Linked DNA regions of Diceros bicornis minor. The protein of the gene in region 1 interacts with the protein of each later gene in a biochemical or structural test. Links are inferred from orthologs where the notes say so. Each region holds a gene or a part of one and is shown on either strand. Other genes may lie near its edges. The genes, in order: CUL3, DCUN1D5, DCUN1D4 and PEF1.

Region 1 (7,220 bases):
TATTTTGCAATGAAAACAAAATAATCACAAAATATATTTTTACACATCAATTTTATAAAACAGAATCTGAAATGAGCACTCGAGACCTTTGGTTAAACTACAATTTCCTTTAAATTATGGTTAACTATATATCCAAATGGTAATGTAAAATACGATAGTTGTAAGTATGTACATATGTATATACATAAACAGTATTTTTTCTTTATGGAATACTATGCATCTACTACTTCTAACTAGCAATCCACATAGACTATAGTTATGTAAAAGATCACTAACCTGGAAGAAAAAACAAATTTTCAAGGTCTGTAAGTACTCAAACATTTACTAAAGGATAAGTCAGTGAAATACCATACCACTGAGGCATATATCTATACTAAATGAAGGCTCAAGGAACTATGACTTAAAATTTTATATATTAAAAAATATAATAGTTCTTTTCAGCGGGAACTACTTATGATGATGTTAATACTTATAAAATAACGAAAAATCCTTAAACTTCGAAAAATTAGCAGATGTTAACTACTAAATATCAAACACTAGTTTAATATTTTAACTTCATTAAAGGATTTTAGAAAAACGTAGAGGGCCAACAAGTTACAAACAGAAAGGGTCCAAATTAGCTCATACACATAGCGCTACTTTAAAATAATCAGTTTCATCAGTACTGTGTGCTAATCTATCACATAATATTACACTCTTCAGCTAAAGGAATATTCTCCCACCACCTCCTCCCAGCAATGTAAGATCCAGAAAGCAGGCATCTGGGTCTTTCAAGCTATACTGATATATCCCAAGCTCCCACAACAGCGCCTGGCACACAGTACTCCATCTTTGTTGAATGAATGAAAGAATGGGAGAACAGATAGGAACAAGCAAACCTAAAGAGATCAAAGGGTTAATCACACATAGATAAAGGTATAACTGGTTAATCAGAATATTGACATAAGTGAGTTGATGTCAAATGTGAGCTATTCCACATTTTAGTAATAAATCTGAATTAGAACTCAGACTGTAAGAGTAGAAAGCTTTTCCTAGAAAATTTGTTGTATACAACTAAAATTCTGCTAAAAATGGTCAGAACTGATTTAGTAGGAAAACGAACATTACTCGAAAATTCACAAACCCAGCTTTTGTTCCATTTTAAGGGAAAACGTGCTAGTGAACGTCATTAGTGCTCTTTTGTCAACATTTCTCATTTTCTTTGTAGTTTCTCACATTTACTTAAGAAAAAAATTCAAAATCCCTTTCATCAGTATCAAAATACTTAATTCTCCTGAGTATACCCTAGCTTTACTTACATAAAACTAAAAGTTTCTACACATCGACATTAGTATTTACGCTACCACAATTTCAAAATTCTGCATCAGGTGTCTGCATCAGGTCTTTTAAGTTTTAAAAATTCACAGAGGTCCTCAAGTTCAGTGGGTCGGTTTCCTACTCAACTAGAATAACTACACTAATAAGTCTTTCCTCACTGCAAACTACACTTTACAAAAAGCACGCTTAAAAAAGTGAGTACAAACTGCCTCTTCCTCCCTCACACTTTATGTTTATGATTTTAAGCAAGGAAACCCAAGATCTTTCTCTAGCTTTGCTGTTTTAAAATTTTCTGTTCAACTGCTGGTTTGTCTGTCCTGACGTATGCCTGTTACTGTAGCGACACGAGCAAATACGCCTAGTTTCTCTGTTACAACAGCACATTTTAATGCTTGTCATTGGCTATTCGATTCAGATATGACACCCGAAGTTATACCCTATATACTCAACGCCACAAGCATATGAGTCAACGTAATGCTAAAAAAGAAAGTTTCTAAACAGAAAACGTCTGCTGTCACTAAAACCTAGACGGTAAAGCAACTCAGGATGGTGACTCCTCGTTCTTTGGGCTTCCATGGCTAAGAAATAAAGAACCAATTGTCCAATTTGTTCTCTCTGGCTTCCCCTTGAGTGGCAAGGCAGTTTCTGCCCATGAGAGTTGGTAAAGTGCTCTGAAGCCTGTGGATGAGAGATGCTATAAATACACCCATGTTACTGGTACATTACTATACAGCACTACGTGGAACCACTGTCACCGCGCCGGGGGTAGGCGGATGGCACAACCCTCCCCGACGGGGGAGGAGAGGGAGAGGACAGTGCCCTCCATCATTCTAAAGGTCTGGCTGGCCGTCTCTTCGGCTGGCTTCTTTTCTCACCCGCAGCGAAACCACACGTGAAAAGTTACACACGCGCCCCACACAAGGACTTCGCCCGTCCCCATCGCGGCAGGGCCGGGATCCCGGAACCCGGCGCCCGGCACCGGGCCGGCGCCCGGGGCCGCGGGACCGGCGAGGGGGCCCGGCCGGCGGCGCCGCTCCGCGGCGGGGGCGCTGGGAACGGCCCAGGAGGCCCGGCCCGCGGCGCCCCGTTGCCGGGAGGCTCGCGCCCCGCGGCCGGCGGCGTGGGGGAGGGGAGGCCGGGCCTGCGGCCTGTTGGGGGAGTTCAGCCCGGGCCTCGCGTGCGGCTCTCGGCCGGGCCCCCGGCCCCGGGGTCCCCGGCGCCGAGCGGGGACTCACCGGAAAGGCCCGGATCCGCATCTTGGTGTCCTTCCGGCTGCCCGTGCCTTTGCTCAGATTCGACATGGTGCTCGTCCCCTCCCCGGCGGCGGCTTCGGGTCGCACTCCGAGGCGCCGGTGTCACATCTAAGGCGGGCGGGCGGGCGGGGGGCGACGCGGGGGGCGGCGGCGGCGCGGCCCCCGGGCTGGGCTGGGCGGCTGGCCGGCCCTGGGCGGCCGCGGCGGGGGCGGCGGCGGCGCGGGCTCCGGCGGCGCGGGCTCGGCTGGGGGCTGCGCTGGCGCGGCGGCTCCGCGGCGTCCCCCTCGCGCCCGGCTCGGCTCCCTTTATCGCGCTGCTCCGCGATGGCGGCGGCGGCGGCGACGGACAAACATCTCACTGCGCAGGCCGAACGTCCTCCTCCTCCTCCTTCTCCTCCTCCGCCTCAGCGAGACGAGATCCGGCCCAGAGGGTGGAGGGGGGAGGAGGGAGGGAGAAGAGCCGTAGAGTGGAGAGATTGGGGGAAGGGGGGGTGGGAGGACGGGAGGGGAGGCGGGCGGCCGCGGCGGGGACGCTCCGATCTCGCGAGAAGAGGGCGAGCGCGCGGCCCCGGGCGGGGCGGGGCGAAGCCGGGGAGCGGGAGGGGACAACGGGAGGGGAGGGAGGGAACCGGGAGCCGGGGAAGTGGGAGGGACCCGCGGGGCGGGGAGGTGGGAAAGGGGCGGGGCCGAGGGCGGGCGGAGTAAACTGCCTTTTTGAAAGGGGAGCGCTGGAGACCGGCTGTGGGCGGAGGAGGTTGCTGATTGGTGGAGCGCGGGGCGGGGGTGGGGGTCTTGGTCACGTGGATGGAGTGGGCGGGGGAAGTTCTGAGAGCCGGAGCGGGACTGTAGTGGGCTGGGTCCGGCTGGCCTGGGTCGCGAGGGTAGTGTCGGGGCGGGCGTGGGGTGCGAGATGGATAACCATCCAGAACTGGTTCCTGTGTTTTTCTAGGGCATGTGGACTAGGGATGGGTATTTGAGCAGAAGCCAGAAAGTTGAGAGAAGAGTTGGTGCTGGAGTTACCTGCAGTGTCAGAAATTAGGGTCCTGTATGCCGGGTATTCGGATTGGATGTGCACACCCCACCTTTTAGGACTGAGGGGTGGAGATGTTAATCCACAAAATTTCCTTAAACTGCAGACGCTTCAGGACTTCTTGATTCGTTGATACTTTCTGAGGGACCCAGGACTTATTAGTGTTAAAAATCTGTTTTTCGTTACCATTGAAATGAAATGACAATGCCTTTTATGTAGTGCAATATTTTGGTAAATGGTGTTAAATAGAAGATAGGCTGATAGAAACCTATCTTTAACCTGCCAAATCATTTTTACTATTACCAAGAGTACCATAGATTTTGAAAGCCAAAATTGTCTTTGATTCCACTTTGCTAAAAATTTGGGAATTTTTTTTCTGTCATTGTAGTCAAAAGGTCTAGTTTGATTCATTCATTTTGCTTTCTATTTATTATGAATTTTACTTCCTAATTTACCTCTTTGCTCTATTTGGATTTCTGACTCTGCAGAGGAATATGTGAGTTCCCAGTTAAGTTTGTGAACTTCTAAATAAGATGGGTATCTACATTTGAGAGCTATTATTTATTTTAATACTTTTTTTTTTTTTTTTTTTTTGCTGAGGAAGATTCACAATGAGCTAACATCTGTTGCCAGTCTTCTTTTTCCTTGGGGAAGATTGCCCTGAGCTAACATCTGTGCCAATCTTCCTCTATTTTGTGTGTGGTTTGCTGCCACAACATGGCTGACCAGTGGTGTGGGTCCGGCCTGGGGATCTGAGGGGAACCTAACCACTAGGCCATGGGGCAGGCCCCAATTTTAATACTTTTTTTAAACTTGAGTTTTAATACTTTTTTATAGCACTTGGAAGCTGGGGGGTTTTGTACTTTTTTAAAATAAGTAAACTGAAATCGTCTGTTTTATTTGTTTACTATAAGGTTGACCTTGCTCTAAATTAATTTAATCCTGATGACTAAATTTAAGAGTGTTGTTTTCATCCCCTACTTGGTTGAAACGCTCCACTGGAAATATCATATTTTCTTGTTTTGTTTTCTGGTATTCACTAATGAAAACACGAGCTTAAGAAACAAGGATGTTGCTTGAAGCAATATCTGTATAAATACTGAAGCTAAAAATAGGTCATCCAGAACTGGGTTGATAAGGTAAAACTGGGAGGGGCTCTGATTTAAATATAAGATGATATGAGTCTTGGATAGGAATTTATAATCTGTGTGCTGATTATAAATTCCTGTGTGCTGAACCTCCATTTCCATAATCATTAGAATATAATAACAGCCAATGTTTTTCCACTGGTTGTTCTGTCCTGTGACCCAGTTTCTTTGTAACATAAGAATATATGTTCTGGAACCAGCTCTACCACTTGACTACCTGTACTATGTGGCTTTTGTGGGCAAGGACTTGACTGTTGGTGCCTAGAGTTCCTCTCATCTGTGAAATGGGGATAAAAATAATACTTCCTCTTTGGGCTACTGTGAAATTTAGGTAATTAAAGCATTTTAAAAAGCCCTGAGAGCAGTGCTCAGCACAGAGTAGCCACTCAACACCTGTTGGCTATTATTATCATGGGTAGTTAAGGTCAAGTTTATACTAACTTCCTTTAACCAATATGTAGATTTCTAAAAACACTTGTATGCTTTCATAAAATGAATATTATTTTAAAACTAAGCGAGTCTCCAACACTTACATTTCACAAACCAGTAAAATATTTTTTAAAAAGCCGGGAACCAATATGGGGTTGGCAACTTTATTTTGGCAACTAAGGGCATTAAAAAGACATAACTACCATCGACTAGCCTCATTATCTTTTTTTTTTTTTTTTTGGTGAGGAAGATTGGCTGTGAGCTAACATCTGTTGTCAGTCTTCTCTTTTTGTTTGAGGAAGATTGGCCCTGAGTTAACATCTGTGCCAATCTTCCTCTATTTTGTATGGGGGACGCTGCCACAGCATGGCTTGATGAGCAGTGTGTAGATCCATGCCAGGGATCCAAACCTGTGAACCCCAGGCCGCCAAAGCGGAGCGCAGGAACATAGCCGCTACGCAACTGGGCTGGCCCCACATTATCTTATTTTTTAAAAAAGTATTTTAACCACAGAAATGGGAGAAGGTGAGTTTTTGAACAAAGAACGGTTCTTTAAATTGGTTAATTTAGCCCTATTGAAGAACAATACACAGAGCTGATTTTTCTCGCTTAAGTGTGAACCTGATACAGCATCATGGGCCAGATTTAGGAACCCCCTGCAATAAGGCACATTTCTGTGTAATTGTGAAGCATATAATCACCCTTTAATTTGTTTGTTTTGTGAACCCAGATTTTTACGTGTTGGTTTTGCTTAAGCAAAATTTAGCTGCATTTGAAAGAATCGCTGTCAACTGTGTCTTCCATTAGGCTTTTAACCACAAAGACCCAGAAAAACTCTTCAAAATGACTTTGTATGTCACTGCCATTAAGAAATCTACTGCTCATTTATTGGTTCATTCAAACCAATTGGTTCGAATAAATGTTCAAGAAATAGTTATTTAATGGCTGCTACGTGTCAGGCACTAAGGTAAATAAGACAGATGAGATCTGCCACCACAGAACATATAGTCCTTTTTCACATTTCAAAATTTGGAAACCACAGACCCAGGTTAGACTGGCAACTTCCTATACACTCCAGTTCAGAAATCAGAGATTTTCCTTTGTAGGAAACCAGCATCCTCAAAATGTATGTGAAATACTCTCCAAAGCAGCAGTAGACTATTCTTCTGTGCCCGGTGGTATTCCCTGACTTGCAAATAGCAAATGAACTTTCAGGATATCGGTTTTTCTGCCAACTGCCACCTGATCCAGCAGAGAAAACAGTGCTGGGAGAGGAACTCACTGGATGTTGCATGCCTGCTGGTTGGTTTCCTACTTATGCTGACTGAGTCCTGACACAGGAGAACAGTGGCCTCATTTCCATTTACTCATATGGAGCACGTGCGGTCAGAGAATCCGGGAGGCTGAATGGGCCTGCCCCTTTTGTACATCTCAGTCTAGAAATGGACAGTACAGACTGAGAAACCAGTGAAAGGGAATAGCCTCTTCTTGGCCTTGAGTTTCTAGGTATCCAGGATACCAAGCCACTTGTATCACTGTATCAGACCTGCTGATTTGATTGTGCAGATATTGGTTATTAAAACAGCTGACAGCCTACCAATTCAATTAGAAAGACCTGTTCAGTGGTTTTGAATAGACGAAGACTGTGTTAGGGAAAGATGTATGTTTTTCAAATTGCATAGAGAAGATTTATAGATATTATATCACTTCCTTAAAAGTAAGGGCTAGATCTTCTACTTTCTTCCTTGTCTCCACCAGGCAACTAATGAGCATCATAGGCCATTAGATTTATAACATTTAGACCAGTAACTTTGGTATGTGCTTTATAAGATGACATGTTATAGGAGTATCCCATTGCAAACATAGCCACAGATACTTGAAAACTGTAGGTCTTGTCCATGCACCTTTTCTGCTTTGTCTTTACTATTTTCTTTATATGTATCATCGAGACAGGAAGCATATGAGACACATGAGCATATAAGACGCCATATCTTGAATTAAAGAAAAATCTTAAATGTCTATTATAGCACCCAAACCCATCTC
Region 2 (7,412 bases), on another chromosome or scaffold:
CTATGTCTCCTAAAAGTGTCAGAAAATGTCAGTTTCTAGTTCAGAAAAATTTCAAAAGAATACTGAAAAGAACTATATAACGTATAAAATGTTTTATTACATACTTTGTGTTTTCCAGAATACCAAGTCCACTTTAGTCAATGGATGTAAACCAGTAAGTGAACGTGTCTGCTTACAAATTGTATTAACAGTAAATGAGTTTCAACCCTCCTACTAAATATATACTGAATTATATATTTACAGAAAATATCAGCCTGAAATGGCACCAAATTCTTAGCCTACCCACAATTCTCAGCCTTGACCCTGATTGCAGCACACAGCACTAACACATAGCAGGCCTGCAATAAATAATTCGTTAAAATAATGAACCAAAAAACCGTTTTAAAGCATGTGACCGATATCTTCTTATATTAATTTCATTACCTGCATACTCATAAAACCAAGCCAGGCACTTCTTGCTTGAAAAATGTTCCTCTCCACTTATTAGTCTAGCAGGGGGTTGGGATCTGCAATAGCTTAGAAAACACACAAATGCCTAAGAATTTTATCAAGTCTCAACTTTTAGTGAAAAGCTAAGTTCAATATGAACTACTTCAATTCAAACTAAACAAAGTATTTTTTTTTACAGCTGGCATTAGAAGAAAAAAATTGGAGTTGTTAAGTATTTGCAATTTGAAACAGTACATTAAAATTTCTGGCTAACAAAACCCAAATGCTACTTTGCTCATTATCAAATTCCAAAAATATCAACTAAAATTAATTCCCCAAATTTCAAAAGACCACACAGAAGTTCAACCTAATGTTCTCAATGCAGGACTGGTACTTGGGAAAACATAAATCTTTCCAGTGATCCTTCTGCTGATTTGCATGAAAATTATATTTGTGTATAATAGGTACACATTTGAAAACAAAATCTTACAAAGTATATTTTGATACTTAATGAATCAATATTTCAAAATAAAATTATGTATTAAGAGTTGTTCATCATCAACTAAGATTAAATAGATATTTAAAGATAAAAGATGATTTACGACCTATGGGTAAAATTGAATTCCACAGATTAAAAAAAAAAAAAAACAAAAAACTCCAAAAGATAGAAACAGTACAAATAATTGGGCCAAAGCTATTTAATCCCAGAGTCTGTTTATCTTTTTCATAAAACCATTAAAAGTTAGGAATTTCATAAATGGCCATAGGATTTAATGAACTTCAGAGAACCTTCTCAAGAAGCTCAAATAGTTACACCACCATAACATAGAAATGCTATAACTTCTGCAACTGACTAATGTAATGTAACGTAACGTAAAATAAGGGTACTATATTTAAAATTTTAAGTTGATTGAGCAAAGTATCACCTGAGTTCTAATAATATTGACTGCTCAGCTATTTTAATGTGCTCAATTTAAATAATTTTGATACATTATACACTTAAGATGACTACAAGTTAGAATAATAAAAAACTAATTTGTAAGTTTCATAAAAATATGAGCTAGTGGAGTAACCATGTTAAATTCTAGTGTGAGTTACCAAGAGGGATATGAAAACAGCACCATCTTTCACAGTAACAGCCCAAGAAATATCCTTAGGCTCCTTTGCCAAACACAATAATGAAGGAAAAAAATTTAACCAATTATGAAAAGAAGATGCAGACTAAATAAGCCACCGACCTCACATTTTAAGCAGGTCTCTCTTTAAGGAGAGCTCTATTATAATCTCCTCTTTATAACGCTGGCTAGTCTTCTTTTCATAGCAGCACCTAAAGTTGTCACATCAAGTGCCAACCACTGATACAGCCAAAGACATCCAATAAGCGGATTTAAAAAACCCACTTCTCACGCCTAAATTGCAATGATTTTTTGCAGCATACAAGGTTGCTGCGATGCTCCAATGACATGCTACAATGGGATCAAAGAGCTATAACTATAGCTTTGCTTTGTTTTCTTTTTCTCCAAGAGGATACAGAGTACAATAGCTTTCAAATTATTAATATTTATATTGAGAACTAACAGCAGAATGCTAGAACACAAAACGCATACAGGGCCTTTCCAACTCTGCACAGAGGGACTTGGCGCAGGTGGAGGCGCTATCCTTCCAGAAAATGCAGCTCCTGCGATTTAAAGGCCTGCTGCTGGGATCATCCGGGTTAGACCACTCCAACTACTACCGGAGATCAATTATAGCACAGGGAGCTTTCCTTTCTACCATCCCCATGGCAGTTGTCAGGTCAAGAGTCCTCATGCTCTGCTCCTTTCTTCACACTCTACAAAGAAATTCTAGAAGTGACCATTCCGCGGATCTGTACTCACTTCTAGGTCTGGAAAGAAGGCCAGGGGGTGGGGGTGGGGGTGGGGGTGGGGTGGGATTGAGGGTGTAGCGGGTAAGGGGAAAGAGCGCAATTTACGTACGCATTCCTGTTTCCCCACCCTCCAGGGCACGGAGACTCCAATGTGAGGAGACTTCCAGTCCCTCCATAGGCGCCAGAGCGCACACACCGAACACGAGGTGGAGCCGGCGCAGGCACTCGCGGTGTCCTGCAGCCACCACCTAGCTTTCTCAGAGTGGGCTCACCTCTCCCCAGCCCGAGCCCCGGAGACCAGGCCCGCCTCCTTCTCCCCTTGCCGTCCGGCGAAGGAGGAAGGAGGAAAGATTGAAGGGTGGGGGGAGGTGGTACCTGGAGATTTTACACTTTTTCAGGCCTCCGTCTTCCGCTACTGCCGCTGCCACCCCAGAGGATTTTCTCTTCTTCTTCACTGGCATCTTCCGCCCTCCCCGGCAGGGTGGGCAGGGGAGCCGGGGAAGGGGATCGCTGTCCGCTGAAGACTCCTCAGTGCTGACACCCGGTTCCCAGAGACAGCAGCAAGTGAAGGAGCAGAGTCGCCAGCCCCCACCAGAGCGGCCCAGGCCGGCCGCCGCTCGCTCCCAGATCTCCTCCTCGTCCTCCTCGGCTCGGGGCAGCGGGTACTCCTCGCCGGTGGACACTGCAGCTTGGTCACACCGGGAAGAGAGAACGCGGACAGCGCGGCACCGCCACCACTCACAGATTCCGAGAGCAAGAGACTCAGTCCGACCTGGAAGCGAATCGCCCAGGACCGGAAGTGACGCAAGCTCAGAGCCGGTCGCCGGGAGGGGCGTGGCGCCGGTTGGCCCTGGCTCGCCGTCAGCCAGGCTGAGCGACGGTGCGTAGCTGCCAGGAGTGGAGAAATCGTGAACTGGTGGCCAGTTGACCGTCTTTGGTTGTCCAGGCTATCCCGACCTTTCTCACGAAGCTTCCATCCTGTCCTAAGGCTGGTAGTCACCCTCAAGAAATGTTTTATGAAACCACTAATACTCTGCAGTTGGCGTTACAAATAACCTGGTAAAGTAAACCAAGTTTCACTTCTGAGCTCTTCCATTCGGTAACCTCACGTTAATTGTTCCCCACCCCTTAAATGCTTGTTTTCTTTACGGGCCGGCGATCAGCCTCCCGCTCTCCCACCTCCATTTCTCCATCATCCCTGACCTCTGCTTCTCATTTCCCCTTGTTAAAACTTAGCTCTACCATTTCTGTTTCCACAGAGCTCACCTTTCAGATAAGCGTACGTGATCGCTGACTTAGTAAAGAGAATTTGGGGGACAATTCTAAGGGGCCTCCCCCCAATCCTTACTACCCAGTACACTTGCAATCACTCCAGCTCCACTTCAGTGAAAATATTGTTTATAAATAAAGGTTACTGCATGTAAAGATTATATAGTAGAAAGTCGTTTTACTCAATATATACATGTAAAATAAGTTCACATCTGTAAACCAACTGTGATGGTAGAGGACTAAAAGTCTCTTTAAACTCAATAACAGTTGATGAGGTTCTGGTGAGACTACCTCCATCTTGGCACCCTCACCTGGCCAATCAGAATATCATATTTCCCTAGTGTCATTAATTGGTTCAGAACAGACACATGACTCAAGACCTGCTAGTCAGTGCCATGATATGAAACTGAACCATCAGGAAGCAACTTTATTTCCTATGGACTGAACTTGAGAGGATGTGGAGAATGAAGCCAAAACTCAGAAGAGACCAGAATCAAGCAGAAAGACAAAAACCAAGACATGATTTTATGAAATGAGCCCTGAATCTATGTATGCCCTGGAATTTTCAGATACATGAGCAATAAATCTCACTGTTTTGGTTATGCAATTAAGTTCTCTGTTACTTACAACCAAAAGAATATTGTTCTTGAATGCTGTAATCCCACAACGCAGTTAAAAATGCATGAGGCCAAAAAATCAAATCTGAATAAGGTCAAGTCTCTAAAAAGAAATGCCATCTGTAAGTAGAGGATGGTGGAACATATTAACACTCAATGCAATCAGCAAATCTATATTGTCAGAAAATCTACAGGAAAAATGACCCAGATTCCATAACAAATTATTATAAAGAGAGTGGGAGAAAGAAATTTTAAAAGATATATCATTTTTCATATGTCTTATTTGAATCTTGATTCAAATAATTTAAACAATATCATGACATTTATGAGGCAATTGGGAATTTGAACACTAGCTGATATTGATGAAATGCTAGAACAGGCAAAACTTATTTACAGGACAGCATCAGTGATGCTTGGGGACTGGAATGGGATGAGGATGGAGGGGGAAGACTGCAAGGAAGTACAAGGGAAGTTTCTGGATAATAGACATATTCTATGTCTCGATTTAGGTGGTGGTGTATATACTTGTCAAAATTCATTGAACTGTACAATTAAAAGTGTATGCCCTTTATTGTATGAATATTATTCTTCAGTAAAGTTGATAAAAAAAAGTGTGAACCAAAAAACAAAACAAAACAAAAAGACATGACAAAACACCATTAGAAATAACCAAGCTTATTTCTTCAATAAGTGAGCTGCAAAAGCTAAACATGCCTTTCCCCAAATAGGACAAAGGAAATGGAATAAAATTCTAAAAGATAAATACTAAGACCTCAGAGGGATATCCTTCCAGAGAGCAGAATCAAGGCCTAATTAAGGGGTAAGGAAGCTTCATAATGCCTGTCTAGCAGGATACCAGCACTGCTATGGACCAGTGACTATTGCACATCTTCCATTCTTCTCTAAATAGGAATATTTATTGTGGTTATTGTGTCCATTCTCCACTGTTGTTTATTGCATGAGAGTGGGGAGCAGATAATTATCTCTTAGTTTATAGGTCACTGGACCATAAAGAACTACTTCTAGACCTAAGGAAGAAGACCCCACCACACCTGGAGATTCTGGAGATTCAGCTGAATGCAGTGATTGGACAGGAGCCTACCTGCATCTGTAGAATTCTCTGAAAAATAGATAAAAGACTGGGTTTATGTATGGTATTCATTCATCCAGTCTGTTATTCAAACAATATTTAATGATCACTTAAACCAGGAACTGTGCTGGATTTAGGGATATAAAGGCAGGCATGACTCCTGCATTCATGAAGCTTACAGTTTGGAGGGGGAAATATAAAGCAGCAGCCTATTTGTACTTAAGAGAACTTTATGAACAAAGAATAGGGTCAGTAATCTATACTCGTCAATAATATTAAGGAGAGGGTGATTTCCAGGGTCATGTAGACTGTTTTCTTCATTGCCTTCTCTGATCAGTACCTACTGCCACCACCATACCTCCATTCTCAAAATGGAGCATTCCATCATCCCAATTACTTTCACAGAAGGGGCATATTGATAGCATCACTGCCTGTGAGCAGTATAGAAATGCCTAGTTATGTAGTTTTAATCTTTGCTGCTGCTCACATGGATAGTACATTATTTTCCATCAAGAAGGCACCTATAATGGAGAAACAAACTATGACAGAGTACTGTGGTTCTTTGTCATGTAGTAGAATTTTTTAATGAAAGTAATGAGAAGGAAAGGAAGGGATGAAGAATTTACCTTAAGCAGAAACTCATGTGTTCTGGTTTCAACTCCAAAGAAGACACTCAGTGCCCTTAGGTAAGACACATAACTTCCTTTATCCTTCATCTTATCATACTGTTACATATAAGGATATAGAAAAAAATAACTAAATAATATCAATCTGTAATGACAGTGGATGTATATTTATGCGAAATAGAGCAGTAGGCAAAAAGACTTGACTGGGCCATAGCTCTGTCATCTGTTTGACATGTTGGTTATATACATACCCCTTAGCTCTTGGGGGTTATAGAATGAAGCCAGGAAAAACAGCTTTTAAAATAGCTGTATCTGTATTAAAGCAGCCAAAAATAGTGCCCTAAAATGTGCTAATTTATATATTCTGTTTATTTTATTTTAGTTCATTTTTTTCTTACCACCACCTTAAAATAGGGCATTTCCACTTGCCAGAAAAACAAGCAACACAGAAATTAAGTGATTTGTGGGATGCCACATGTTACTGTAGTCCTGGATCTATACGAATACTCTCCATACATTAACATTGATTTTCAAAACAATCTTGTAAGTCAAAATTTTGTAAAATATTTTCATACCCATAAACCCAGAGAAATAGGATGTTAAAACAGGACTTTCTGTTTTGGAGCTTCAATAAAGCCCATGAGAACTTGTGTTTTAGGGAGGCCCAACAGTGCAGAACTATGTCACACCACGTACCCCATACCTCCTAAAGCAGTGTGCTAGAGCACATCAATTGCAGCCTGTCTGTGGGCCTGGTGCACTCTGGGACCCAGCCTGAGGAAGTAGCCACTATCTGGAACATTGCCTGTCATCACGACAGACAGAAAGGAAAATACGGTGAACCCCATGCTGGCTGTTAAAGGTTCTGCCCTGAAGTGACGTGTATCACTTCTCTTTAAGTCATACACCTGAGGCTACTCCTGAGTTCATCAGGATAGGAATGTATAATCCTCTTGCAGAGAGGGGCACCAAATAAAGGTAAATACAGTCTACAACAGTATGGTATTGGAATGAGATTTTATTCAAGATCCAGGGATGAATGAGTTCACAGAGTAGTTTTAAAGGGGTAGTAGGGAAAAGCATAAGATTAGTTTCTGCGTATACCTCACTGTGGTAGATTGTATTTTCTAAAGATGGTTGAAATGATATCTCTCAACCCACATATTCTTCTAGACCCTTGCCACTCCCTGTCAAGAATGGAGTCTAATAAATAATAATAATAATAATGAATCAATATTGGTTCATTAATTGTGAGAAATGTCCCATACTAATGTAAGATGTTAATAATAGGGGAAACCGGGTGTGAGATATATGGGAACTTTCTGTATTATCATTGCAACTTGTCTGTAAATCTAAACCTCTTCTAAATAAAAAGTTTAATTTTAAAAAAGTCAAAGTGGACAGAAATCAATAAATAAAAATATAAAAATATTGCTGGAAGAAAGCAATAAACTCAAGAGAGCCACTTAGGTTCAATGCCTTTGGAAAGGTCAGAATTCATAAAATTCTGGATG
Region 3 (7,524 bases), on another chromosome or scaffold:
TGATGTTAACACCTTCCTCTCTGCCATTTGGTTTCTTTTCATTTTCGCCTGGCTTTTCAGCCTTGAAAAGCCTGGATCTTGATCCTTTTTTCATGTGCTGGTGGAGTACTGGGGAGTGAGGTGGATTCCTGTCTGTGCTGTGCTGAGGTTGTTCCAGGAGTGCATTGGCCGTGGAGGGTTGGGGGTTGAGTCAGGGTGGGGCTAGAACTCCCCTCTCTGGTTGCACATTAGGATCATCTGGGCTGCTTGAGAAAGGATCGACCACTCCCATTTTTATTTAATTGATCTGGGTTGGTGCCCTGGCACTGGCATTTTTTTTCAAGATTCTCAGGTGATTCTGATGTGCAGCCACTGGATTAGTTTTAAATAGCTAAATTTGTGAGCTGGGTTTGGTTTGGGCTGTTGGGGAAGGGGACTCAAAAGATGCATAGCTCTTCTACGGGCCCTGCCCTCGGAGGATAGCACAGACCCTTCTTGCTCACCATGTGACATTATAGCCAGGGCTCAGGTAGCGCTTACCGTGTGCCAGGCTCTGTTCTAAGCGCATTGCAGCATTAACTGATTTAATCCTCACAGTATGCTTATGAGGCAGGCACTGTTATTCATTTTATAGATAAAGAGATTCCTACTTCTGGCAGTGAAGGGCATGTGATATGAAGCTGTCCGACAAACCTAGCTTTTGGTTTTTCCTAGTTTTGTGGTATAAAAAACTCATTTCAAATCTTTGTGTTTTAGTAATTTGGCCTTAAATGTGAATATATTTGTTTTTACGAATGAGACATATACCTGTGCCATCGCGTATAGGTAAATGACTGTCAGCTGGGATGCATAGGTGTAAATTGATATTGTAGATCATTTAAAACACTACTTTTTATAGTGTCAAAAAAAAGTTGACTTCTCTTTATAGTAGATTTTATATTTCAAGTCATTTTGAGGTAGAATTCATTTTAATGATCTTTTTTACTTAAAATTACATTTTGTACGTTTTTTTTTTTTTGCTGAGGAAGATTCACCCTGAGCTAACATGTGTTGCTGATCTTCCTCTATTTTGTATGTGTGCTGCCGCCACAGCATAGCCGCTGACAGACAAGTGGTATAGGTCTGCGCCTGGGAACCGAACCCAGGCCACTGAAGCGGAACATGCTGAACTTAACCACTAGGCCGTTGGGCCTGGCCCACTTTTTATACTTTTCTTTTAAAATCACATGTACTATGTATGTGCGAGCTCATATGTAGATGTGCTCTGACTCCTGATCTGGCCTGCTCTTTACACTCTGGCTACTGTAACCTTCCAGGATACTAAGCAAATCAGCATTTTAAACATGCTCAAGTCTCACCATTGTAAAACCCAAATGGAACATTCCCTCAATCCCATGTGCATTTCTAGTCTCCCTTTCACAGTCAAACTTCTGGAACAAGTTGTTAAGCTTGACTTAGTGTGTCCCTCACCTCCTGGTCTATCCTTAGCCCTCTTCGTTCTGACCTCAGTTCTGGCATTGAAGTCTTCGCTGAGGTCACGGAGTAACATCCACGTTGCTGGATCCATTGACGACTTTTAAAGCATTCATTCCCATATTCACTGGTCTCTGTCATGTGTTAGGCTAGCTATGCTAGGTATGGGGATACAGTGGTGAGCAAAGCAAAAGAAAGTCCCTGCCCTCCTGGAGCTTGGGCTTGAGGGAGAGTGACAAAGGACAAAGATTATTGACATTATAAAATATAACATCAGTGTCACAAAAGACCTCATGGTGTATGATTCCATTGATATAAAATGCCTAGGATGGGCAAATCTGTAGAGATGGAAAGTGTGTTAGTGGTTACCTAGTGCTGAAGAGGCACGGGCAGGGATGGGGAGGTATTCCTAGAGGGGTGAGAAAAATACCTGAAGATTAGACTATGGTGATGGTTGCATAACTGTGAATTTACTAAAAACCATTAAATCGTGCACTTTAAATGGGTGTATTGTGTGGTATGTGAATTATATCTCGATAAAGCTGTTAAAGAATGTCAGAAAGTGACGAGTACTATGCAAAAATCTAAATCTGGTGGAGATGGATAGGGAAGTCAGAGGAGTCCTCTCTGGTGAGGTGACATTTGAGTAGATATTTCAGTGAAGTCAACTGTCAGGCCTTGGAAACATCAGAGGTCATCAAGGCAGAAGGTATATTAAATGCAGACGCCCTGAGGTAGGAATTCACTTGAGTATTCAAGGAAGAGTGTGGCTGGAATGGAGTGAGCAAGGATAATGGAATGAGATGACTTAGGTCAGATCATGTAGGGCCTTGTAAGGACTTGTTAAGGATGTGGATGTTTTTCTTTTATGCTGCAGTAACAAATCCAGAATCTCAGGGGTTGAAATCAAAGGTTGTTAATATCCTTTGCAGGTTGGCAGGGGTCTCTGCTTGACATCATTGACATTCTCATTCTCAGTCTATCTGAAACCCATAGGAAAGAGGCCTCCTGTTGCTAGAAGGAAGGAGACAAGGCAAACCTAAAAAATGGCTCTCAAATACAGAACACTGTTGGCTTTAACAACGAAGTTTTTTTCTTTTTCCATATCACTGAGCAAAATTGATGTTTCAGGATGGGCCATGTAACCTGTTGCTTAGAGAACTCCTAAGCATTCCGTGTTGAATCCCATTAGAGAGGCCTTGCCCTGCTCGACTGGATCGTGTTCTTGTTCTGTCCCAGAAACATTTAGGATGAATGCTGATATTGATAACCTTTAATTTTGTCCAGTTTTGTTTCAATATTTTGGCACTAACATGGTCATTATTCTGCACCACCCCACCAGAGCCTTTACTGGTTTAGTTTATCATTTTCGTTGTCATCAAATATCTGTGCATAGTGATGCATTAAAAACTTTTATACTTGAGAGCATTGCTCACTGACTCACCCACTGGAGTTTAAGCTAATAATAAAGTATTTTTATGACTCGATAGTGACCAGAAGAAAGAAGTGTACTTGAAATAGAAATAACATTGGTGTTATTGGTGATATATTTTCTGCACATCTTTTCTCTTTTTTTAAAAAAAAAAAAACTTGGTAAATTGTTTTAGATTTAGCCAGTTTTAGTAACTTTTTTTTTTTTTTATGAGGAAGATCATCCCTGAGCTGACATCTATTGCCAATCCTCCTCCTTTTTTTCTCTTTTTCTCCCCAAAGCCCCAGTTGGTAGTTGTATGTCATAGTTGCACATCCTTCTAGTTGCTGTATGTGGGACGCCGCCTCAGCATGGCCGGACAAGCGGTGCGTCGGTGCGCGCCTGGGATCCCAACCCAGGCTGCCAGTAGCTAGTAGCGGAGCGGGCGCACCCAACACTAAGCCACGGGGCCGGCCCTTAGCCAGTTTTAGTAACTTTTTAAAAAATATTACTCTTAAGTTTGTGTGCTTGATTATTAACAACTTTAGGTGGGAAATGCTGATTTTTCCCTTTATGGAACATGAAGATCAATTTTTGCTCTTGTTAGAAATAAGCTAGAAGGAGGAATGGACTTTGAATTGGGAATTAGAAGATGTGCATTATTCCCGGCTTGGCCACAGCTAGCTGTCTGACCCTGCTTGAGCTAATAAAACGAGGAGAATTGGACAAAAGGACATGGAATGTTGAATGGTACTCTCTCATCTCCCAAATGCTGTCTTAGTGGTTTTTCCTTACAGTACAATCACATACATTTTATATAGAAGTTAGTTCTAAAGTCCATATGTAAGGTGACGATCACTTGTATTAAAAATATCGCTGGAAATACGTTCAGGTGGTGCCCATTGGAGATGGTTTCGGATACAGGCAGCTCTTCCTCCAGCGTTGGAACGGATCGCTGGCTCTGGAGTTGAGCACCAGTTGAAGCAGCTGGCTTGCATTTAGGGACCATGTTTTATTAAAAAAAAATCTTTAAATACTAGACTCCTAGAGTGTTGTGAGATGCACAAAATGTGATTGGCACATGGAAACTGAGGCGGACCGAGTGACTGTGGGATTCGTGTTGCCCATCTCCTGCTCATTAAGTAGAAGGGAAGGCAGTTCTGGGACAACTGAAATTTTTTTGTTCTCTCTCCCTCCTTTTTTTTTTTTTTTGCCAAGTGAATAAAGTTGAATTTGTGTGAGTTAAACGTGGATGTTCTGCAATCCTGCTGTACTCAGGATTTCTCTTCTCCGCTTGTATTGCCGCTGTCTAACTTAAGGCCGTAATCATTTCCTACTTCAGTCTCTTCCAGTAGTCTTCATGAAAGGCCACTCTAAATCCGGGCCACCCGTCATCCATGCCACACATTTGCCATAGAGGGATCTTTCTAAAAAACTCCGGGTTTTAACACTTCCACGGCACCCAGAGCCATAGCAGTGCTTCTCAAACTTCTCCACCAGCATTCCGCTGTGGCAGAAGTTCAGTAAATTAGGTACTCGCAGGGTGCTTGGAGCATAGTTCGGTGTGGTGAAATTTCTTTAAAGTCTTGTGCCATAATCATATTTTTGTTTTTATGTAAAAGTGTTGTAGGCAAATTACCATTGAGTAAAATTGATGCTGCTTGAATGCACCATGTTTGTTTGTTACATTTGCATGCCTTTGGGTGGCTCAGCTGGAAATACAAGTCCTTAGGAGATTAAATCTAAACTCTTAAGCAGGGTTCACAGATCCTTGTTTTCTGACCTTTGCCTTCCTTTTGAGTCTCCTCTTTTATCATGCTGCTTCTCACATTTGAAGATCTAATGGTGTGGATGCACTTGAAATGCCCTGAATATATCGAATTTAAGACTTAGTGCCTTTGTACCTGCATCCATTCATTCATTGAGTGTGTACTGAGCACCTAATATGTGCCAGGCATTGTTCTAGGTACTAGGGATACAGCAGTGGACAAGACCAAGTCCTGACCTTCATGAAGCCTGCATTCTAATGGGAGAGGAATATGACAAACAACTATAAACAACTATATAATATAAAGAAAAGTAAAAGAAAAAGAAAGGTAAAGCAGTGTAAGGTGATAAAAGAGTAAAGAGGGAGTCCTGTTGTTGGTCTGGCAAGTTTCTGTAAGAAGGTGATATTTACATGGCAACCTGATGAAGTGTGAGAGCAGGCCATGTTACTATGTTATTATGAGAGGTAAGAGGGCTCAAGGCAAAGACAACAGCGTGTGCAGAGGCCCTGAGGTACGAGTGTGCTTGGAGTGTTCACAGAACAGCAGGAAGGTCACTGTGACTGAGAAGAGGGAGCGAAGGGAAGGTGAGTAGGAGATAAGATTGGATAGATGGGTAGAGGCAGAATGTGCAGGGCCCTGAGTCTGTAAGGATTTTTCATTTGTGTTGAATGCCTTCCCCTTCCATCTGTAACTATTGGGTGAGGTTGGAACTAATTTTAATTTGTTCACATTTGCTTCTCCATTTACTAAATAATTATCTCTTCGCCATTGATTTGAAAGGCCATTTTATCATACGTTAATTGTATGTGTGTTTAGACATACATATATATTCATGCGTACATACATATGTTTATCAACTCTTTTCCATTGATTTTTCTTCTTGCACATGTACCATACTATTAAAATTACTGTACCTTTATATCAGGCGTTGGCAAACAATAGCCCATGGACCAAATCTGGCCCACCACCTAGTTTTCATAAATAAAGTTTTATTGGAACACAGCCACACTCTCTTGTTTATGTATTGCTTGTGGCTGCTTTATGAGTTACAATGGCAGAGTAGTTGCAACAAAGATGGTATCGTCCACAAAGCCTGAAATATTTACCATCTGGCCCCCTACAGAGAGTTTACCAACCTCTGCTTTACGCTATGTATTGGTATCTGATAGGGTAAGTTGTTCCTCATTCTTCTTTTTCAACAATTTCTTGGCAAGTCTAGCATGTTTGTTCTTTCAGATGAACTTCAATCTGCCAAGTTTCCCTGACTCCCTTTTCCACACCTCTTTTTTGGGTGGGGATCTGGGAGGCCGAGAGAATAGGAATTTGACTGCATTTATTTTGTAGTTTAGTAAAGGGAGAAGTGATCACTTTACAATACTAGGTCCTTCCATTCCAGGAATGTAATATCTCTACGTTTATGTCTTTTGGTAAACTTTTATTGTTTCTTCATCGTATGTTGTGTATTTAAGTTTATTCCTGTAAGGATTATTGCTTTTTGTTGCTATTGTAATTGAGATCACCTCCCAGCTATGTTTAACAAGTGACTATTTATGGTATAAAGGAGAGGTTTTGATTTTTATGTACTTAAATTGTTTTTGACCCTCTTATGGAAGTAAACTCTTTTAGGACTGTTGATTTTTAAATTTGATTCTTTGGGTTGACAGTCGTTGTCTGAACTTACTGATAATTGTTTCATTCCTAACATTTGTGTCTCCATCTATACTGTGGGATTCTATGCCTGGGGTGGTTTGGGGGAATGGATTTAGACCGTCTCACTGGCATTCATTTTTTTTCTTTTATATTATGCAGGTCACAGCAAATGGTAATTACAAAAAAACTCCCCAAATCAGAAAACTTGATGCCCGGTCTACATTTGTTGGTAGTTTTAAGAATACCTGGAAGACAGTTTAGGCAAGCTGTTTGTTAAGCAGGTTGTGCCTTTTTGCAGAGCCATTTGTTACAGGATATAGGGTTTGCATGTCACGCTGGACTTGTAAACCTGTGTGACATGCAAACCCAGTCATTGCTTTACTGTGGAGAGCCGTTTGATCTTGGAATAAAATTGATTTAACCTAGCATTTATCCTTTGGAATTGAAATATGAGCAGAAGGAGATTTTTATGAATCAGTTAGTGCTTTCCTAAATACGTTCTCTGTAAAGCATTTGATCTTTACCCTTAATATCTGTTCCTTAAGGATGTGAAATCTATTTTAGATTTCAAGGTCTGTTACTTGCTCTGAGCACTGAATAGATGAACCATAAATTCAATATATGTTAACCTTTGTGGGTTAATCTTTTAATGCCATTTTTGTCCTTTTTCCCTGAATTTGTGTCTCCACCTTAGCTTCTTGGTGAAACTAAAGATAAATTATTTGTGTTGCTGGTTCCTTTTCTTTTTCCTGTTTTTTTTTTTTTTTTTGGTGAGGTGATGATGGAGTGGTGATGGTAGTAAACATTGGATATGGAAATGGAGAATTGCTGACATATGTGATGTGTGAAATGAACTTTGTTACTCTCGTTGCCTGTGAAGTGAAACTCCGTATTTAGAACCTGGTCCTAAATGCTCGTGTATATTTTTTCCGCTGTGTTGAGATTCACTTGGACCATCATTATGAACATCAGCTGGTGGTGTATGAACATAGCAATGCCATCATGGTCTGTAGAGATGTATCAGGCCGCATGCGTCAGTCATAGAAGAAGCTCCAACTCTGGGGTTTTTGATGTAGGGCTTTACTTGGACCTACGGAAGTTAGAGACCATTTTAGATAACTGTGGGGTGTGGAAAATGGTATAAGCGAATTTAGTGATAATGATGTCTTTTATTGAGCACTTATTGTGGTCCACGCATTGTAATGGGTGTCTGCCACATCTAGGCATTGTAATCTCTTTTTA
Region 4 (6,929 bases), on another chromosome or scaffold:
CAGGATGCCTGGGAGGAATGGTATGTCTCTAGGGGAGGCGATGTTTTCCAGGGGATGGGGCTTCCGTTACCAAGCTCTGCCTCCCCTCTAATGGCTCAACCACAGTGCTTCCATGAACTCAGGAAAGTGCTCTGTGCTCTAAAAAGGGCTGGAATCCAAGCTTTCTCCTTTGGCTAAAGATGAAACAATAACAGGAACTTCCCCACCCACCTCTGTCGGCCTCAGGTAGTTGAGGTTTTGGAAATGAGTTGATTGTTTTTCAGTCTTGGGAAGATCCCCATCTCCCTCTTTTCCACTCCTCTCCAAAATAAACACACCTGGGCCTGCCACAGGTCCTCAGAGGTGTAGCCCAGGACGTTGGCTTTGGCTGGTCTCTGACTGCCCGAGAGATGACTGGGATGCCCTGCCCCCAGAGAGCACAGATATCCCACAGAACGCTCTCCTAAGAGCCCTTTGCTGAGCAGAGAGGGCTGGGGTGTGAAATTCTCATAGGAGTCTAATCCTCGGCACCTAGAACAGAGCCTGGCAAGTGATGGGAACTCACTAAGTTAATACGTTTGTGGAATAAAATGAATGTGCATCATGTTACCCCAGTTTGCAGGCCAAGTGTCACTATTCTCTCTCCCAGCAAATATCCCTTGACTGTCAGCCCAGACTGCAGGACTTCTCCCCTTCTGAGATTTTGCAATTCGATTCCACCTATTCTGGGGACTTGGAGGGGAGGTGGTTACAAAAGTAAAGAACACAAGACCTACTAAGTACCCAGCAGTTAAAAGATTGTGGACCTGGGTTCAAATCTTGACTTCTCTATTATCTTTTTGATAGTAGGGAAGTCACTTAGTCTCTCTCAGCCTCAGCTCCTCATTATAATGGGTAATAGAATCTATCACAAAGGACTGTGGTGAAAATGAAACAACACATCGTACTTAGCACAATGTCTGGCACCTAGTAAGCATTCAATACAGGATAATAATAATAATAACTACTACCATTTATTGAATTCATGCCAGTCACTATTCTAGGCACTGGAGATAGAGGCGTGAATAAGAAAAGGACAATCCTACAATACACATGTAAACTTTAAAGAGGACAATTCAACTAGCAACAAGTATCATGAAAAAATGAGACACAGTGATATGACAACTAGAATGTGGTGGCAGTGGGGGCTATGTTACTTTAGACGTAGTATCAAGGAATGTTCCCCCAAGAAGGTGATAGTTGAACTGAGACCTGGATGGCCAGGAGGGGCCAGCCAGTGAAGTGCCTAGGGAAGAGCATTCTAGACAGAGGGAAGAGCTAATCTGAAAATCCAGAGGTGGGAATGAGCTTGGTGTGGAGACCAGGCCAGCTGGAGTGAACTGAGGAGGACAGCAGTGGCAGGAAGTGAGGCAGAGACGCAGGCAGGGTCTTGGTCATATAGGGCCATGAAGGTCATAAGGATGAGTTTAGATTTTATAAGAGTTACGGGAACCCTCTGGAGGAGTTTAAACCCAGGAATGACATTATCTGATTTACATTTAAGACAATCACTCTGGCTGCCCTACGAAGAACAGAGTGTGGGGGAAAGTGAAAGCAGGGCCATGGGTCAGGAAGCTATTGTAGTGATCCCGGCCGTAAAGGATGGTGTCTTGGGCTAGGGTGATCGCGCAAACAGGGAGAAAAGAGCAGATGTTACTATTTCTAGTATTACTAGTTTCTAGTATTAGTAATACTAGTTACTAGTATTACTATTTCTAGTATTACTATTTCAGAAATAGAGCAGGGTCTATTTCTGAACTAGACCAAATGGGGGTGGGGAAGTTAGTGGAAAAACAGAGACCACACAAGAGTGATCCTAGGTCTGTGGCCTGAGAGACTGGGTGGATTTTCTGAGATGGAGAGGAATGGATTTTGGGAAAAATATCAAAGAGAACTCTTACACAAGGCAGGCTGGAATATAGCACAGTGACAGTACCAAGTGCAAAAGGAGGCAGGCAAGAGAGTGGCTAACTCTGGACTTGCGGGAATGAGGGAGGGGTAGTTGCGGGGTGGGGTTGGAACTGAGCTTTGAAAGACTGGAGATGTGAAGGCTGCTGATCTGATGAAAGGAGTGGTTTGGGCATAAGCCTGGGCATGAGCAGGTGTGATAAGCCTCTTTTTCAAATCTCTTTACATATTTGTTCTGACAGCCAGGACACTGAGACTCACAAAGGTTAAATAACTTGCCCATGGTCGTACAGTTAGAAAGCAGTAAATCAAGATCCTCACTCCAAAGCAAGAGTGCTGGATGGTGGAACTGAACAAAGGAGTACAGAGGGGAAGACGGGCAGGGGATGTAAGATATAAGTTTGGAAATGTGAGGTTGGGCCAAAGGTCAAGGGCCTGGAGTGCCAGAATAAAGCGGTTGGGCCGTATTTTCTAGGTGGAGATGAAGAGGAGCCATTGCAGGCTGTCCAGTGGGCAAGCATCATGATTGGTTCTGTGATTTTGGAAAGCGCCTGGCTAGATGGTTAGAAAGTTGGGCTGGAATGGATAACACCTCATAACACTACTCACTTACTTATTTTTAAAAAATACAGTGTCAGGCACTGTACTAGGTACTGGGGATATAACAACAAGTAAAAACAGACACAATCTGTGCCCACATGAAAGAACTTAACAAAATAGTCGAATAAGCATTCAAATAAGTGTAGAGCCCGAATTACCAAGAGGCAAGTTAAGTACTTGACTATGAGGTCACTTGTAACCAGGATCTGACCTACTTTGGGGACCAGTCAAGACTCTGCTGAGAACCGGGCATCCATTGACCTCAGTTCTAGATCACACTCTGCCCTAACCCACTGCGAACCGGGGCAAGCCTCTCTGGACCACAATTTTCCCATTTATGAAAGAAAAGGCCCTAGATGATCTAACTTTCCTCCCACTCTGACGGTGTGGTACTTTCTTCTCCAAAGACCACAGATCTTACTCAAAGGTACTAACTGGCATGTGGTGTCAACATTAGAGAGTAAGTACAGACAGTCCCCGACTTCGGATGGTTTGACTAATGATTTTTCGACTTTACGATGGTGCCAAAGTGATATGCGTTCAGTAGAAACCATACTTAGAATTTTGATGTTGTTTCAGGCTAGGGATACGTGGTATGAGACTCTCTCATCATGCTGGGCAGGAGCAGCAAGCCACAAGTCAAAGGGGTCAGCCATGGTATCACCAAGGTAAACAACCAATACACTTACAACCATTCTGTACCCATAAAACCATTCTATTTTTTCAGTTTCAGTATTCAACAAATTACATGAGATATTCAACACTTAATTATAAAATAGGCTTTGTGTTAGACGATTTTGCCCAATTGTAGTGTTCTGAGCACGGTTAAGGTACACTAGGCTAAGTAAGGTACAATGTTGGGTAGGTTAGGTATATTAAACGCAGGTTAGGTATATTAAACGCACTTTTTTTTTTTTTTATGAGGAGGATCAGCCATAAGCTAACATCCATGCCAATCCTTCTCTTTTTGCTGAGGGAGACTGGCCCTGAGCTAACGTCCATGCCCATCTTCCTCCACTTTATGTGGGACACCGCCACACCATGGCCTGACAAGCAGTGCGTGGGTGCACGCCCGGATCCGAACCCAGGCCGTCAGCAGCGGAGCGCCCACACTTAACCACTGCGCCACACGACTGGCCCTAAACGCACTTTTGATTTAAGATATTTTCAACTTAGGATGGGTTCCTCATCATAAGAGGAACATCTGTACTTCCGCTGTTGCCTCTAGCCTTTCCACGAGGCCTCAGGCGGTTCCCCGTTGTCAGGGCAACCGCCTAAGCCCTCCGGCGGCGGAAACTTGAAGTGACGACAGCAACGACGCCACTATCATGCGTCCCATTTGCCAGGTTACAACATGGCCACTGCTGCAACACCCACCCAAGCCTCTCACTAAATATCCGGGACTGACCAGCCCTGTGGCCTACTCTAGGGCAGCAGTGGGAGAAACATCCGCGCCAACACAACGAACAAAATTTCGGAAACAGGACGCCGACGTTCAGGAGAAGCCCCTCCCGCTTCTCCGGAGTCACTCGACCACCGCCCTATACCGTCACTTCCGTCGACACATGCGCCCAGGATTGACAGTCGCGGACATCCAATCGAAAGCGGTCCCGCCCCTAGGCCCAGACAAGGGACGGGTTTGAAACCAGGAAGCCCCGCCCCTCGTCGACGTGTTACGTCAGAGTCGCCATGGCCAGCTATCCCTATGGGCAGGTGAGTGCGTGAGGGGCGGGGGAATCCAGGTAGGGGCCTCGCTACGTCCGGGCTCGGGACCTCGCTTTCCTTTCTCCCCGCTTTCTTCGCGCCCTTCCCACGCTGCGGTTGGCTTCAGCGAGGTCTCGCGCGGAAGAGAAGGGAAAGGGGACGGTCGGTCGCGTCTGTCACGTCACGTAGGACTGCACGTCGGGGAGGTCGTGTCGCGCCCCCTTTGACGTGGCGCACGGGAGGATTTGGGGGACTTGGATCTCATAGACCCAGGTTGGGCTCGGCCTGGCCCCACACCTTCCCAGGTCTCCGGCGGGGACCCTGAGCGGGGTCATCAACGCCAGTAGAACATTTAGACGCTAGTTCCGTCGGTATCATTTGGGGCGTCGGATAAAAATACACCCCAGACGTACTGCATCCGAATAATCAGGAGCCTCTGTGGCTTAGCAGGCTCCACAGGTGAGCTTCTTTGACTACTGACTTCGTCCAACACCCGCCTCCTTTCACACATAGGAAAAATGAAACCCAGAGAAGACACGGAACTTAGCTGAAGTGACTAGGCAGTTAGGCAGCAGAACCCAGAGCTGTCAGCCAGTGCCTCTTCCCCACTTGCCAACCCATCTCGATCCAGCCAAGAACACCGCAGCGAGGTGGTTCTGTGGCCAGAATCCTTTGCTGGGTGACGGAAGTGTGGAGGGGTAAGTGCAGTTTGGAGTCAGAGGAAGGTTCACATCTTAGCTCCATCACTTAACTAGTTTGGAGCCCTTGAGCAAGGTATTTTGCCTTTCTGAGCTGAAGTTAACTCCTCTGTAAAATAGGACCAAATAATAGAGTCTACCTCATAGAGCTGTTGGGAAGAGTAATGAAGTGATGCTTGTAAAGCATTTGGTACTACTAAGAGTGTAACAGGTGTTACCTCTCAGTGTTTTGATTTTTACCAGATTCTTAGAAGGTCAGTGCTGGGAGGGCCCTCAGAATAGTCCCTTCATTTTATTTTATTTATTTATTTTTGTGTTTGTGAGGAAGATCAGCCCTGAGCTAACATCCGTGCTAATCCTCCTCTTTTTGCTGAGGAAGACCGGCTCTGAGCTAACATCTATTGCCAGTCCTCCTCCTTTTTTTCCCCAAAGCCCCAGTAGATAGTTGTATGTCATAGTTGCACATCCTTCTAGTTGCTGTATGTGGGACGCGGCCTCAGCATGGCCGGAGATGCGGTGTGTCGGTGCGCGCCTGGGATCCGAACCCAGGCTGCCAGCAGCTAACCACTAAGCAGCGGGGCTGGCCCACTCCCTTCATTTTAAAAGGAGGAAACTGAAGCCCAGAGAGGGCTACTGAGTTGCCCAAGATCATGCTAATTTAGGAGATAAAACCCATGCAGGAAAAATTGGAAGACAACATTGTATGGGACATTACAAAGCAGTCGATGAGTACAGTCACATGGCAAAGGATGTGGCAAGAGCGCTCTGAGGGAGTGTAGCCCTGTACAGTTTTTGTACAGGTATTGGACCTCCATTATCTCAATCATGAAGCCCTGGAGGCATGCCGGCAGGGATTATTACCCCCAGTTGATAGCTGAGGAACGAGCCCAGAGAGATTAAGTGGCTTGCCCAGGGTCACACATAGCAAGTGAGGGGGTGAGGCCCGGGCTAGAACTTAGAAATCCTTTCATTGCATACTTAGCAGGGGTAGGAAAGAGAGAGGCCAGCCTAGGCGAGGGTTAGGAAGAAGTATAATCGAGCAGTGTTTCCCAAGCTCCGTTCCATTTGCTGAGTCTTGTGAGATGTTGATAGGTATTGCTAATGGAGGAGGATTTTTGTGGTTAAATGCATCAGGGAAATACTCTGTTAAATACAGCTGAATAAGTTGGTTCACCATAGGTCATCTCAGAATTCTTGATTTGTCAATATACATTGTAAATCTGCTAACAAGGGATAGAATATGCAGTATTTCTTAAACTTACCAACCATGGAATTCCCTCCTCCTCCCTTTTTTTATGTCTGGTCATTTTTCGGTAACACTAGTATTCCTGAGGAACACTGGGGAAACAGTCAGCCTGCGTCAGAATCACCTAGAAGCTTGTTGAAAACACACTTTTGGGTTCCACCTCAGACCTGTTCTGCACCCAGGAATGGCCAGGTGTCTACATTTTAATAAGCTTTAGGAGGTACTTTGTATGCATCCTAGAAACAGTGACATAGAAATTAAGAACCTGATCTTGCAGGTTAGACAGAACTGGGCTCAAATCCTAATTCTGCTGCTTAATAGTTACATGCCCTTGGACACATCATCTAAGGGCTCTAAGCCTCAGTTTCCTCGCTTGTAAAAAGGGAGGAATAAGACTTCATAGGACTGAAATGAGGATGAAATATAAAGCCTATAGGGAGCTTGGCACACTGCTAACACATAGTGTGTGCCAGTGCTGCCGCTGCTACAAATGCTGTTATCATGCCATGCTGCCTGGGCTTATGCTCAGTGAAATCTTGAAAAGGAGCACAGAGAGAAACGTGTCTGGAACGGAAGAAGAAATGCTGGAATAGCAAAAAAGTGCTTTTTTTCATATCCTTGTCTGCCTGTCCAGCTCCTGGTCCATGGTGTTCCAAGAAAGGAAATGTATTTTTTTTTAAAGCGTCCAAAGGCTTGGTGAGCACCACCTCCCCTCCACCCAGTACATAGCCCTGGAGGATTCCAGCCTATTGTTA

The links.
Region 2: the proteins of CUL3 (region 1) and DCUN1D5 form a complex in vitro, tested with the Homo sapiens proteins (2 studies listed by BioGRID, with this or other methods). The link is inferred for Diceros bicornis minor from reciprocal best matches to the Homo sapiens genes CUL3 and DCUN1D5.
Region 3: the proteins of CUL3 (region 1) and DCUN1D4 form a complex in vitro, tested with the Homo sapiens proteins (2 studies listed by BioGRID, with this or other methods). The link is inferred for Diceros bicornis minor from reciprocal best matches to the Homo sapiens genes CUL3 and DCUN1D4.
Region 4: the proteins of CUL3 (region 1) and PEF1 form a complex in vitro, tested with the Homo sapiens proteins (2 studies listed by BioGRID). The link is inferred for Diceros bicornis minor from reciprocal best matches to the Homo sapiens genes CUL3 and PEF1.

What each region holds. Positions count from the first base shown.
Region 1 is NC_080776.1:14,112,523-14,119,742, forward strand, and holds the start of CUL3 (cullin-3), read right to left. Parts: upstream 3,019-7,220; 5' UTR 2,619-3,018; coding exon 2,553-2,618; intron 1-2,552. UniProt on the Homo sapiens protein: Core component of multiple cullin-RING-based BCR (BTB-CUL3-RBX1) E3 ubiquitin-protein ligase complexes which mediate the ubiquitination and subsequent proteasomal degradation of target proteins.
Region 2 is NC_080746.1:31,996,884-32,004,295, reverse strand, and holds the start of DCUN1D5 (DCN1-like protein 5), read right to left. Parts: upstream 3,012-7,412; 5' UTR 2,758-3,011; coding exon 2,672-2,757; intron 516-2,671; coding exon 424-515; intron 1-423. UniProt on the Homo sapiens protein: Contributes to the neddylation of all cullins by transferring NEDD8 from N-terminally acetylated NEDD8-conjugating E2s enzyme to different cullin C-terminal domain-RBX complexes which is necessary for the activation of cullin-RING E3 ubiquitin ligases (CRLs).
Region 3 is NC_080747.1:40,350,511-40,358,034, forward strand, and holds the start of DCUN1D4 (DCN1-like protein 4), read left to right. Parts: upstream 1-4,500; 5' UTR 4,501-5,053; coding exon 5,054-5,216; intron 5,217-7,524. UniProt on the Homo sapiens protein: Contributes to the neddylation of all cullins by transferring NEDD8 from N-terminally acetylated NEDD8-conjugating E2s enzyme to different cullin C-terminal domain-RBX complexes which are necessary for the activation of cullin-RING E3 ubiquitin ligases (CRLs).
Region 4 is NC_080752.1:46,549,073-46,556,001, reverse strand, and holds the start of PEF1 (peflin), read left to right. Parts: upstream 1-3,924; 5' UTR 3,925-4,215; coding exon 4,216-4,239; intron 4,240-6,929. UniProt on the Homo sapiens protein: Calcium-binding protein that acts as an adapter that bridges unrelated proteins or stabilizes weak protein-protein complexes in response to calcium.